Saccharomyces cerevisiae S288C: one gene and its partners. Each later gene encodes a partner of the first gene's protein in a complex. Each region holds a gene or a part of one and is shown on either strand. Other genes may lie near its edges. The genes, in order: RSM10, MRP2, MRP17 and MRPS5.

Region 1 (2,977 bases):
TATAGTCTCACTTTTCCCGTTCCTAATAACATGAGCATTGGGAGAGCTCAAGTTTTTCAAAGAGTTCATTGTCTTGGTAGCCTTATATTCTTGAACTAGGCCAATGAGCACATTGACCGCGATAACAAAAGAAATAACGCCACCAGTAATCCAATCATGCATGGCAAACGAGATTATCATGGATATTAGAAGGACCATGATCATGGCATTACATACCTGATGGAGGACCATTGCCTTGTAATCAATTTTAGTGTCATCACCCAATGTGTTCTCACCCACTGTTTTCAATCTGTGGACGAACTCATCTTGGGTCAAACCTTCAGTTAGACTTGTGCCTATGAATTCAGCGGCTTCTTCTGCAGTCAGCGTGTGATAAGCATTGAATTCTGCATTATTGTTTTCCTTAGTAGTTCCTTCGCCCATCGAAAATTTTCAATTCTGTGTACGAAGTTTTTTCTTTAATTAGTAAATATACGTATTGTTGCCTCAAATAAATGTGAATTAAGTGTGAACAGTTCACTTGATGAAGATATCTGCTTTATTAAAGTTAATATTAGAATATAAATGATTAGACTATTACTAATGAGAAAAGAAAGATAGGAGAAATAGTAGAAATTAATAGTACTCTAAAAAGAAAGAACGGAATAAGAGGAAAAGACCTTTTATCTATTCAAATTGTTTCCCTTAGGTATATATATATATATATATATATATATATATTTTCCCTGTATATATCTATGTAAATGACGAAAACGCATGACATTTTAAAACCTACCCCGGGTTTGACCACAACCCACCGTTCATCTAATATTAACCCGCACCCACCAAGGAAAGAGGCAATAATTCGGGAATACTGCTCTAAGACCTTGTTTTTTCTTCTGTCAGGTGAAAGTATATGACCAAAATCTACATCCCTGCCCTAACAAACGTCATAGAAGTAGGAAATAAATGATGAGCCCCGCAAAATGACGCCGCACGGCGATGTTTAAGACCCTGTACTCACAATGTAACCACTTCGTGCAGAAGCTTCTGGGAGGAAAGGGTCCGTACATGAATTATCACACCCACACCCCTCATTCAATCCTTCTACCGCGCATGGTAATCAATCATAACAGGAAGCGATAAGAAAGTTTACATTGCACAGCCACCCTCATTGCCTCTGTGATTGAAGATCTGGGAGTGGGGCTAAAGGTGCAACTTCCGTACAAGAGTGACGAGATAAAGGATTTTCCACGGAATGGCTGACAAAATTCGGGGCTTGTGTGAGTTCCACGTGCGGATGACTTAATAAGCTCAGTGATTGTACTTTTGACATGATTGATGAACGGCTAGAGATAGCCACCGAGTGGCTACTTAGTAATAACCAGCGTAGGAAACAATTACGGATTTTGTTATCGTTCACCGATAACCCTAAAATATTGACCACACTGGTAGTCATTAGAATTTAACCAAGAGGGTAGCTTAGTTCGACCGATAATCAATATTACTGAAGTCTTATCAAATTCTGACTCTTGCCATACCGTTTCTTATCGTCACTGTTTAATCCGGAAATTAGTCATGTATCCACACATCCTTTATTAACAGCAGAGAGATTGGGCAAGAATGTTAGCAAACTATGTACCAGGCGGGTAATACCTGTACATCTATTTTCTTTTGAAAAGGAAAAAATGCAAGAAAGGGCATGAAATGAAACTATTTGGTACAAATTAGAATTATGCGAACCGTGCAAAATCAGAAAAGGGGGAAAAACATTGGCCAATGCTTAGAAATACCATTGCATTAAGATCATTTATCAGAACACAGTCGACGCGCCCATATCCTGTAAATGTAGAGGCAGTCTACTATGCTCCTTTAAAGTTACCTATCAAATATGGTGATTTAGTTGCAGACATTCAGTTAAGATCGTATGACAATGAAAACCTCGATTTTTATTCAGACTTCATACTTAGAACAGGTTACTATTTGGGTATCCCATTGACAGGTCCTAAACCTTTGCCCACGAGAAGAGAAAGGTGGACTGTAATAAAATCACCTTTCGTGCACGCTAAATCCAAAGAGAATTTTGAAAGACATACACATAAGAGGCTCATTAGGGCCTGGGATACGAACCCCGAAGTGCTACAGATGTTGATAGCTTACATTACGAAGCACTCTATGGCAGGCGTCGGAATGAAATGTAACTTCTTTCAAAGGTCCGAAATATCGCTGGACTTGGGTTCGGACGCCAATGGCCTCGAAAAATCACTAAGCAATATCGATGAATTGTATTCTCTGAGAAACGATGATAAAGCTCAAACTAGTGCTGTCGGACAAAAAGTATTGGAACTATTGGATAGCCCCGATTTTAAAAAACATTTGGAAAAGAAGTAAAAAGATGATGGCAATCCTATAATTACGCTGGTTCTTGGGACCGAAAAGATTTCGTACTTGTAAATAAAATAGGTGAAGAAGAGGGGCAAAAAGTAGTAGATTAAATGGTTATACTGAATTTATAAGTAAGTTTAATTATATTTTTTAACTATATGATGAACAATTTTGTACTAATATTGCGGCCCGTTATGAGTATTGCTCTTGCCATAAAAGTGTGTTCACTGCTTTGTTTCCTGGTACTGCATACCGCTTAATATTGTTATCGCTCAATAAATTTAGTTTCTGGAAGCTTTCCAAGGACTTACCAGGTAGCGGGCCTGAGAATCTATTTTTTAGTCCATCGGCTACAAAAATCGGTAGTATATTTGTTCTTGGTAAGTAAGCTTTGCTAAAGGAAAGTGTCCTTTTTCTGTTTGTATTCTTCTTCGAATTCCACCTGAAATGTTGGACATTCAGGGATGTGTGTAACCGATACTTCTGGTCAGAGAGTTTGTATACAATATACTCCGCTAATCTGAAAATGGTAAAAAATAATATAAAAACATTCTTGGTAGCAGATATGGAATCTGAATTCATATTGAGAAAGTTTCGCTCAGTACTCCAACTA
Region 2 (2,664 bases), on another chromosome or scaffold:
TCAATGTATTGAACAACTTCCAAGGGAATGTCCACCTTAGACAAGCTGGATTGAGGATCGTTGCTTCTCACGTTCAGCTTGTACAAGCGATCCACATTTCTTTGCAAGTTGGTGATCATTCCCTTGGTGGCTTCTGGAGTACCAGGAAAATCATATATCGAGACACCTAATTCAACGAAGGACTCAATAATCGAAGCCACTTGGTCTTGAGTAGTGGCCAGTTCTTGCTGCAATTGTTCATTGTTAGTGCTGTTTCCATTCATCTTATCGGTTTATTTTTCTATATATTTGCCTCTTTCTCAAACAGGAGTTAGTAGTTAAAAGTACGAAGTTCTTGTTCTTTAATGCGCGCTGACAAAAGAATTGGATAAAAGAGAATGGTGGGGGGACAAGAAGGAAATTTGTCCTAGTTTAACATGAATGGCATCTTGTTACCGGGTGGACATCACCTATTGATTCTAAATATCTTTACGGTTTATCATACTGTTCTTTATTCCGTCGTTATTCTTTTTATTTTTATCATCATTTCACGTGGCTAGTAAAAGAAAAGCCACAACATGACTCAGCAAATCTCGACAAAGTAAAAGCTCATAGAGATAGTATTATATTGATATAAAAAAAGTATACTGTACTGTTTGTAACCTTTTCAATGCTTTAAGATCAAAACTAAGGCCAGCAAAGGTATCAACCCATAGCAACTCATAAAATGAAGACCTATCATTTGAATAATGATATAATTGTCACACAAGAACAGTTGGATCATTGGAATGAACAACTAATCAAGCTGGAAACGCCACAGGAGATTATTGCATGGTCTATCGTAACGTTTCCTCACCTTTTCCAAACCACTGCATTTGGTTTGACTGGCTTGGTTACTATCGATATGTTGTCAAAGCTATCTGAAAAATACTACATGCCAGAACTATTATTTATAGACACTTTGCACCATTTCCCACAAACTTTAACACTAAAAAACGAGATTGAGAAAAAATACTACCAGCCTAAAAATCAAACCATTCACGTATATAAGCCGGATGGATGTGAATCGGAGGCAGATTTTGCCTCGAAATACGGGGATTTCTTATGGGAGAAAGATGATGACAAGTACGATTATCTGGCCAAAGTGGAACCTGCACATCGTGCCTACAAAGAGCTACATATAAGTGCTGTGTTTACTGGTAGAAGAAAATCACAAGGTTCTGCCCGCTCCCAACTGTCGATTATTGAAATAGACGAACTTAATGGAATCTTAAAAATAAATCCATTGATCAATTGGACGTTCGAGCAGGTTAAACAGTATATAGATGCAAACAATGTACCATACAACGAACTTTTGGACCTTGGATATAGATCCATTGGTGATTACCATTCCACACAACCCGTCAAGGAAGGTGAAGATGAGAGAGCAGGAAGATGGAAGGGCAAGGCCAAGACCGAGTGTGGAATTCATGAAGCCAGCCGATTCGCGCAATTTTTAAAGCAAGATGCCTAGATAGATAGAGTACGATATATAACCATATGTATGTGACTAATTATTTATTCCTTAATAACACCAATGATTACAACTTTCTAAAGCTGGCGGAGAATTCGCGCTGTACGAGAAAAGAGCGAAAACAGAGGAATATTCAAACTAAGAACCAAACTGCGATAAAGAGGATTGAAAGGAAAAACGAAAGAAAAGGTAAACTGACAAATATATACATTAACCGATGGGTAATTTCAGATTTCCTATAAAAACCAAGCTACCACCAGGGTTTATCAATGCTCGCATACTTAGGGATAACTTCAAAAGACAACAATTTAAAGAGAATGAAATCCTTGTTAAATCTTTGAAATTCATCGCTAGAAATATGAACCTTCCAACAAAACTGAGGTTGGAGGCTCAGTTAAAACTAAATGCATTGCCAAACTACATGAGATCTACGCAGATCAAAAATAGGTGCGTGGACTCTGGACATGCAAGATTTGTTCTAAGTGATTTTAGGTTGTGTAGGTATCAATTTAGAGAAAACGCTCTGAAGGGTAATTTGCCAGGTGTTAAGAAGGGTATTTGGTAAAAAATTTTATCGCGAAAGTATATATATATATATATATAGGATACGCACTTGTAAATAAATACATGATAATTTTTATTCTTCTTTAATAGATGATAATACTTACTGAGCAATACACTTATATGTAGAGAAGAATAAGATTATACACATACTGGGAGAAAAACAAGTAGCTATAGTTAGAGCTAAAATAACAAAAAAAGGCATACGTACATACAATGAGAAAAGGAATGGGATTGAAAAAGGGCAGTATCTGCCACTAAGTTAACGACTGAGAGATCGAGACACTCCTATAACAAGACACACTTCTTCTTCTTCTTTTCAGTAGTGTTCTTCTTAGCTTTACCATTCGTTTTAGATTTACCCATCAATGAAGCTCTAGTGGCGGCCTCAAACACTTCTCTGACACCATAACCAGTCTTGGCCGAACATTCGTAGTATCCGGTTGCGCCAATCTGGTCTGCTACAGATTGTCCCTCCTGTGATGTAACGGGTTGTTGACCTTCTTGTCTTAATTGTTCAATGGTTTGTGGGTCGTTTCTCAAATCCACTTTACAACCAACAAGAATAATTGGCACACCTTGACAGAAATGTAATACTTCGGCAATCCATT
Region 3 (2,853 bases), on another chromosome or scaffold:
TCAAAGAGTGATCCATTGGCTGCAGATTCAAACGATATCGAAAGTGTCCCTTTGTCCAACTTGGAACTTGACTTTGATCTTAATATGACTGATGAACCCAGTGTAAGCCCTTCGTTATTTGATGGATCTACTTCTGTTTCTCGTTCGTCCGCCACGTCTATAACGTCACTAGGTGTAAAGAGGGCTTAATGAGTATTTTATCTGCAATTACGGATACGGTTGGTCTTATGTAGATACATATAAATATATATCTTTTTCTTTCTTTTTCTTAGTCAGGATTGTCGTTTAGCATAATATACATGTAGTTTATTTAATCACATACCACTGATTATCTTTAGAATTTTATAAATTTTTGAAATAAATGGGTGGCTTTTAATGGTGTCTATGTTAAGTGAGGCTTTTAGAATGCTCTTCCTGCTTTGTTTATTATATGTGTATGAAAGATATGTATGTATTTACATGTGTTTGTAGCGTCCCCAGTCAAAACCTGTGCGCTATACCTAAATGGATTGATAATCTTCATTCACTAATTCTAAAATAGACTTCTTCCCCAAAGAACGGTGTAACGATGAGGCTCTATCCAGCTGCTTATCTAAATCAACTTTAACGATGGATGATCTTATGACACGGGGATCTTTCTTTAAAGTTCTTAGAATTTCAGACTGTACCGCAGCTGATGAATCAAACAGCATTAAAAAGTGATATGCTCGAAAATGTTTTTCCTGGTCTTTCTTCATTATTTTAGGAAGATACCTTATGCCCATGGGTACAATGTCCCTCACCACACCTCTGTTTTGAATAATCAGTTTCCCGATTGTGGAAGACAATTCTTTTGCTTCCAACTTTGGCGCATTGGAGTTGGTTATGCGAACAAGTCCGATCAGCTCATAAAGCATCTTAGTGAAAAGGGTGGTTTTGCGTTATTCTTTCCTCTGTTGAAGCTTTTCTATTTTGTTTAAGCTGAACTAGTGGGAGTTTCCATTAAAAGGCTAAAGTCTTGTTGAAACTTTTCCGGGTTAGATGATAACTGCGAAAAGATAGATAAAATCAGCATTAAAGGGACTTCGTCTCCTCCTAATCAGAAATCATCCTTTCGAATTATGCGTATTCAGTTGAAGCGTATTTGTGACCAGTGTACTTCAAGGCTGATTGTTTCACCCTTGGACACAGAACGTTAAACAATGAGTTTGTTTGAGTGGGTATTTGGAAAGAATGTCACTCCGCAAGAGAGGTTAAAAAAAGTATGTTGTTCTGTATTTGGATCAGTTATTTTAGTGAACATACTAACGTTAATTATTTGAGTTTTTAGAATCAAAGGGCTTTAGAAAGGACTCAGAGGGAGCTTGAAAGAGAAAAGAGAAAATTGGAACTACAAGATAAAAAACTTGTATCAGAAATTAAAAAATCGGCAAAGAATGGGCAAGTTGCAGCTGCGAAAGTTCAAGCAAAAGATTTAGTAAGAACCCGGAATTACATCCAAAAATTTGACAACATGAAAGCTCAACTTCAGGCGATATCATTGAGAATACAGGCCGTTCGAAGTAGTGACCAAATGACACGTTCTATGAGCGAGGCCACTGGTCTTTTGGCTGGAATGAACAGAACAATGAATCTACCTCAGTTGCAAAGGATATCGATGGAGTTTGAAAAGCAGAGTGATTTGATGGGTCAACGACAGGAATTCATGGACGAAGCTATTGATAACGTCATGGGTGATGAGGTGGATGAAGACGAAGAAGCTGACGAAATTGTAAATAAAGTTCTTGATGAGATTGGAGTGGATTTGAATTCACAGTTGCAAAGCACGCCTCAAAATCTGGTTTCTAATGCGCCGATCGCAGAAACAGCGATGGGGATTCCTGAACCTATTGGCGCCGGATCAGAATTTCACGGTAATCCTGACGATGACTTGCAAGCTCGGTTGAACACTTTGAAGAAGCAGACTTGAGCGCTCTGAGTATATTTAATGAATAATAGGTCTATACTATAATACATCAACTACTGATATCAAAGTAGGCACTTAGAATCAAAAGGCTTCCGAAAATTTGTTCAGTTTTTCACTTTACTCAATCTCGTCACTAAAGTTTTCTTTTTTTTTCGAATGAATCCTCGAATAAATATGTTCTATATTATATATATACATCTTTTATATATCATTAAATGTACAGTAATCGGTCAAATTACAAATGCTTACGGATGATTTTTTCACTGATTAAGTACTCATAAATAATGGTAGCACATTCTTCAACCGTCTTCTGGTCGGTTCTCAAATGTAGCTCTGGAGCTTTTGGCGCTTCATATGGGGCAGAAATACCTGTAAACTCCTTGATTACACCCTCCCTAGCTTTCTTGTATAAACCCTTAGGGTCCCTTTGCTCAGCGACTTCTAATGGAACATCAACAAATATTTCAATGAACTTCAAACCAGCCTCCTTATGTAGTTCACGAGCTCTATCTCTGTCAACTCTGTATGGAGAGATAAATGAGGTGATTGAAATAGCACATGAATCAGCAAATAGCTTAGAAACTTCGCTAATTCTACGAATGTTTTCATTTCTGTCCTTTTCTGAGAAACCCAAATCCTTGTTCAATCCAAAACGAATGTTGTCACCATCCAATCTATATGCAGACAAGTTTTTTTGGAGCAGTAACTGTTCTAGCGCACAGGCGATTGTACTTTTACCTGACGCACTTAGACCTGTTAACCAAATAGTACAACCGTCCTGTTTTCTCAATGCCTTGCGTTCGTCGTAAGTAAGATTTGGATGCCAAGTAATATTAGTAGCCATTGGTGTACAGTGTGCTTGGAGAAATAATTCCAACTTTTCTTGATGTCAAGTTCGAACAAAGAGA
Region 4 (3,086 bases), on another chromosome or scaffold:
ACTTTAACTTCACCGGTGTAATCTCTGTCGACAACACCAGCACCGGTTTGGATACCGTTTTTCACTGCCAGGCCTGACCTTGGCGCAATACGACCGTAGGTACCAACAGGTACGGTGAACGATATGTCGGTGGAAACCATACCTTGACCCATAGCCGGAATGGTAATATCCTGAGATGCATAAATGTCGTATCCCGCGGCAGTGGCAGAACCTTTGGTAGGTACAGTAGCGCTTGCTGAGCGCAATTGAATCTTTAGTACTTTGTCGCTAGTAGCAGTCATTTGGTTATTTTTTGGCTCGCTGTATCAGTGCAAACATCTCATTCGAGAACTTAGTTGTTTCTACTTATTAAATGGTAGCGCGTAATATTTTTCCTTTTATAATTTTCAATGGTAGTAAATCAGAAATTATGGAAAAAAAATAAAACTTGGACAGAAAAAAATATTGCTATGAAGAAAAATTGAATATGCTTATCAGCTCATTTGATTGAGTATGTTGAGATATTTACAGGTATTATTATTGCTGTATTTACTTATGTAAAACGAGAGATAATGGTGCGTGTGTATGTACATAGTATTTCAGCTTGAATAGTAAACTTTCCTGACATCAACAAGCTTTTTGCCTCTACCCAGGGCAACCTCATCCAATGTCTTTTGAGCTTTCGTGAAAGCCTCGATGGTACCTTTAGCTATATTCATATCGTTTCTGGATTTATATACTTTCCCACTCAGATCTTTGATACCTGCACATTCACAAATCTCAAAGATTACATGGTTTACACGTAATCCAAACCCTGGTTTTGCACTTCTTAAATGTAGTTTCACACCATGATACCTAAAATCTATATCACCATAAATAGTTCTGTTTTCATACCTAGGTATTTCCTTCAGGTTCCTTACCGCATCCCAATGAGCTTTAAAGATCGCTTTGGACATTTCTTCACGAGATTTACCTTCTCCCAAACCTACCATACCGTTTTTGTCACCAACGACAACCAAGGCATAGAAAGACGCAATTTTACCCTTCCCAGTCTGATTTGACACTCTTTTCATCACCAGCGGCTTCATAGTCAACTTTCTAGTGATATAATCCGGATCTACACCGGTTTGCTTGTGTAGCCCTGCAGCTACATCGGCGCTTTTCGATTTCCGACCACCATCGTTTGGTAAGCTGACTCCTGGAGGCAGAATGTTACCTTCGCCTGGTAATGGTTGTTGTACCTGGTCCCATCTAAAGATGCTGAAGTTATTATTCTCCTCTTGAGCGTGGAGATGGGGCATGCCTGGTTTGTAATCCCAAAAAGGATGTATTTTGGTAAAATCATCCAAATATGGTGGTGCGAATTCCACGTTACGAGATACTCTGAATTTAGTATCTTCTGGTATCGTTTGTTGAGCAAGTTTTATGGATTTTAAAAGACTTTCAGGATAGTACCTTGATAATAGCGACTCATCATAATGCTGTAGATAACGAACACTAGTCGATAATTGCCTCTTGAACATCTTTACCTATTGATCTATGAAATCTGTTTCTTGTATGGTTTACCGTCTACTTTGACAACAATAACGATAGGTCTTTTAGTGGTGCTTGTATTATTGTCTTGTCAATTCGTCTTTTTTTTTTTTTCACTTTAAGGAACTTTACTCCGCGAATAAAAGAAAGCATCACCATGTAATGAAATATATGGGATACATAAATGTATGGGATACATACGACTGTTACTTGCTACCTCATTTGGAGATCACTAGCTCAGTTGTAAAACTTTTCCATTTGATTGAATAAACTCTAACCTTTTTCATACTGGTAGTAAAAGTCAAACCTACGAAAGTTCACATAATAAGGCCTTCACGCCAAGAGAGTCTAGTGTAGTGTTCTTCAGCTCCTATTGATATACTTTTAGTGCCCAAACACGGGATGTTTCAAGTAATTTTTCCTTCTCTAATTTGACAAGGGAAAATATGGCTAGTAATTCTTGTAAAAATGTCTTCTCCTCAGAGTGGGCGGTGCTTATGTATTAGAACCGGTCGAAATATCATAATATACACCGGCCAGTAGAGAACGGACATGGCGACTTGATACATAAAATGTCTATCTCGGAAGCTGATCAACTTGTGAAGTAGTATTATAGATATCAGCGTGCAAGATACTTACAAAAAGAGAGACCTGTAAATTTATTGTTACGTAAATACATAGTAGAATAAGAAACTAATAAAAAATAGTATATGTATATCATGCAAATAAAAAAAAAAAGGATAAAATAGAGGCGTTGTTCTGAGGTACCGAACATTCATAAGCTATTCTCACCTGCTACCATAGAATATAGTGGGGGTTCATCTTGTAGATCACTAATATTTTCAAATTTTTCATATTTGGGTAACAAAGAGCTGGTCGAAATATCACTATCGCCAACTAAAATTGGAAAATTCACCGTAATACGATAATTTTTTTTCATTTCAAGCCCTTCCACCAATTCATTCCTGCTATAGGTTATTCTGAACAAAAGCAAATGAGTTACTTTGAGGGCAGCATGATTGGGATAAAATGAACTTGGTTCACAGTAGAATGTTTTAAACCAGCTCGGTAGACCATCCGCATAGGTTGGGATGACAACGTCATCAAAGCAAAATCCGAAAATGGTCTTGTCGGAATCGAAACTTTGGCTTTCTACAGTTCTTAGTAAATACTCGGACTTTTTAATGTATGGCTCTCGTAGTATTTTCTTGGTCTTCAAATCAATACTTGGTATTGCCATTCTCTGTGCAACTGCCAAAGAAGCTTCCTGTAATTCAATGGAAGAATCTGTTTTGGTAATTGATAATATCATTTGGAAAGGCATACCAATTTCAATCAACTTGGAGTTTCCAATGACCGATACTACGATCTCACTTGCAGTATTGTATGACCTTAATTGAAATGTTTCAAACTTAAGCATACTCGTTGAAGGCAGGACTCTTTTAACTTTAATTTCTTCTGTTAAAATGATCTTATCTGTAAAACTTTCATTCTTCAAAAATTTGAGTAAGTTTTTAGGTTTACTTGGTATTCTCATTATTGTTGTTAAGCTTTCTATTCGAAAATGGGTCTTG

What was found.
Region 2: RSM10 (region 1) and MRP2 share a complex: the UniProt entries of both Saccharomyces cerevisiae proteins name them as parts of the mitochondrial small ribosomal subunit.
Region 3: RSM10 (region 1) and MRP17 share a complex: the UniProt entries of both Saccharomyces cerevisiae proteins name them as parts of the mitochondrial small ribosomal subunit.
Region 4: RSM10 (region 1) and MRPS5 share a complex: the UniProt entries of both Saccharomyces cerevisiae proteins name them as parts of the mitochondrial small ribosomal subunit.

What each region holds. Positions count from the first base shown.
Region 1 is NC_001136.10:538,045-541,021, forward strand, and holds RSM10 (mitochondrial 37S ribosomal protein uS10m RSM10), read left to right. Parts: upstream 1-1,758; coding exon 1,759-2,370; downstream 2,371-2,977. Other genes in the region: Na(+)/Li(+)-exporting P-type ATPase ENA1, read right to left, coding at 1-423; YDR042C (uncharacterized protein), read right to left, coding at 2,557-2,977. UniProt on the Saccharomyces cerevisiae protein: Component of the mitochondrial ribosome (mitoribosome), a dedicated translation machinery responsible for the synthesis of mitochondrial genome-encoded proteins, including at least some of the essential transmembrane subunits of the mitochondrial respiratory chain.
Region 2 is NC_001148.4:875,675-878,338, reverse strand, and holds MRP2 (mitochondrial 37S ribosomal protein uS14m MRP2), read left to right. Parts: upstream 1-1,709; coding exon 1,710-2,057; downstream 2,058-2,664. Other genes in the region: mediator complex subunit NUT2, read right to left, coding at 1-263; MET16 (phosphoadenylyl-sulfate reductase (thioredoxin)), read left to right, coding at 707-1,492; Rho family GTPase RHO1, read right to left, coding at 2,342-2,664. UniProt on the Saccharomyces cerevisiae protein: Component of the mitochondrial ribosome (mitoribosome), a dedicated translation machinery responsible for the synthesis of mitochondrial genome-encoded proteins, including at least some of the essential transmembrane subunits of the mitochondrial respiratory chain.
Region 3 is NC_001143.9:436,597-439,449, forward strand, and holds MRP17 (mitochondrial 37S ribosomal protein bS6m MRP17), read right to left. Parts: upstream 897-2,853; coding exon 501-896; downstream 1-500. Other genes in the region: AUR1 (inositol phosphorylceramide synthase), read left to right, coding at 1-189; ESCRT-III subunit protein DID4, read left to right, coding at 1,182-1,241, 1,310-1,948; MET14 (adenylyl-sulfate kinase), read right to left, coding at 2,181-2,789. UniProt on the Saccharomyces cerevisiae protein: Component of the mitochondrial ribosome (mitoribosome), a dedicated translation machinery responsible for the synthesis of mitochondrial genome-encoded proteins, including at least some of the essential transmembrane subunits of the mitochondrial respiratory chain.
Region 4 is NC_001134.8:719,806-722,891, reverse strand, and holds MRPS5 (mitochondrial 37S ribosomal protein uS5m MRPS5), read right to left. Parts: upstream 1,503-3,086; coding exon 579-1,502; downstream 1-578. Other genes in the region: DUT1 (bifunctional dITP/dUTP diphosphatase), read right to left, coding at 1-281; SPO23 (Spo23p), read right to left, coding at 2,288-3,086. UniProt on the Saccharomyces cerevisiae protein: Component of the mitochondrial ribosome (mitoribosome), a dedicated translation machinery responsible for the synthesis of mitochondrial genome-encoded proteins, including at least some of the essential transmembrane subunits of the mitochondrial respiratory chain.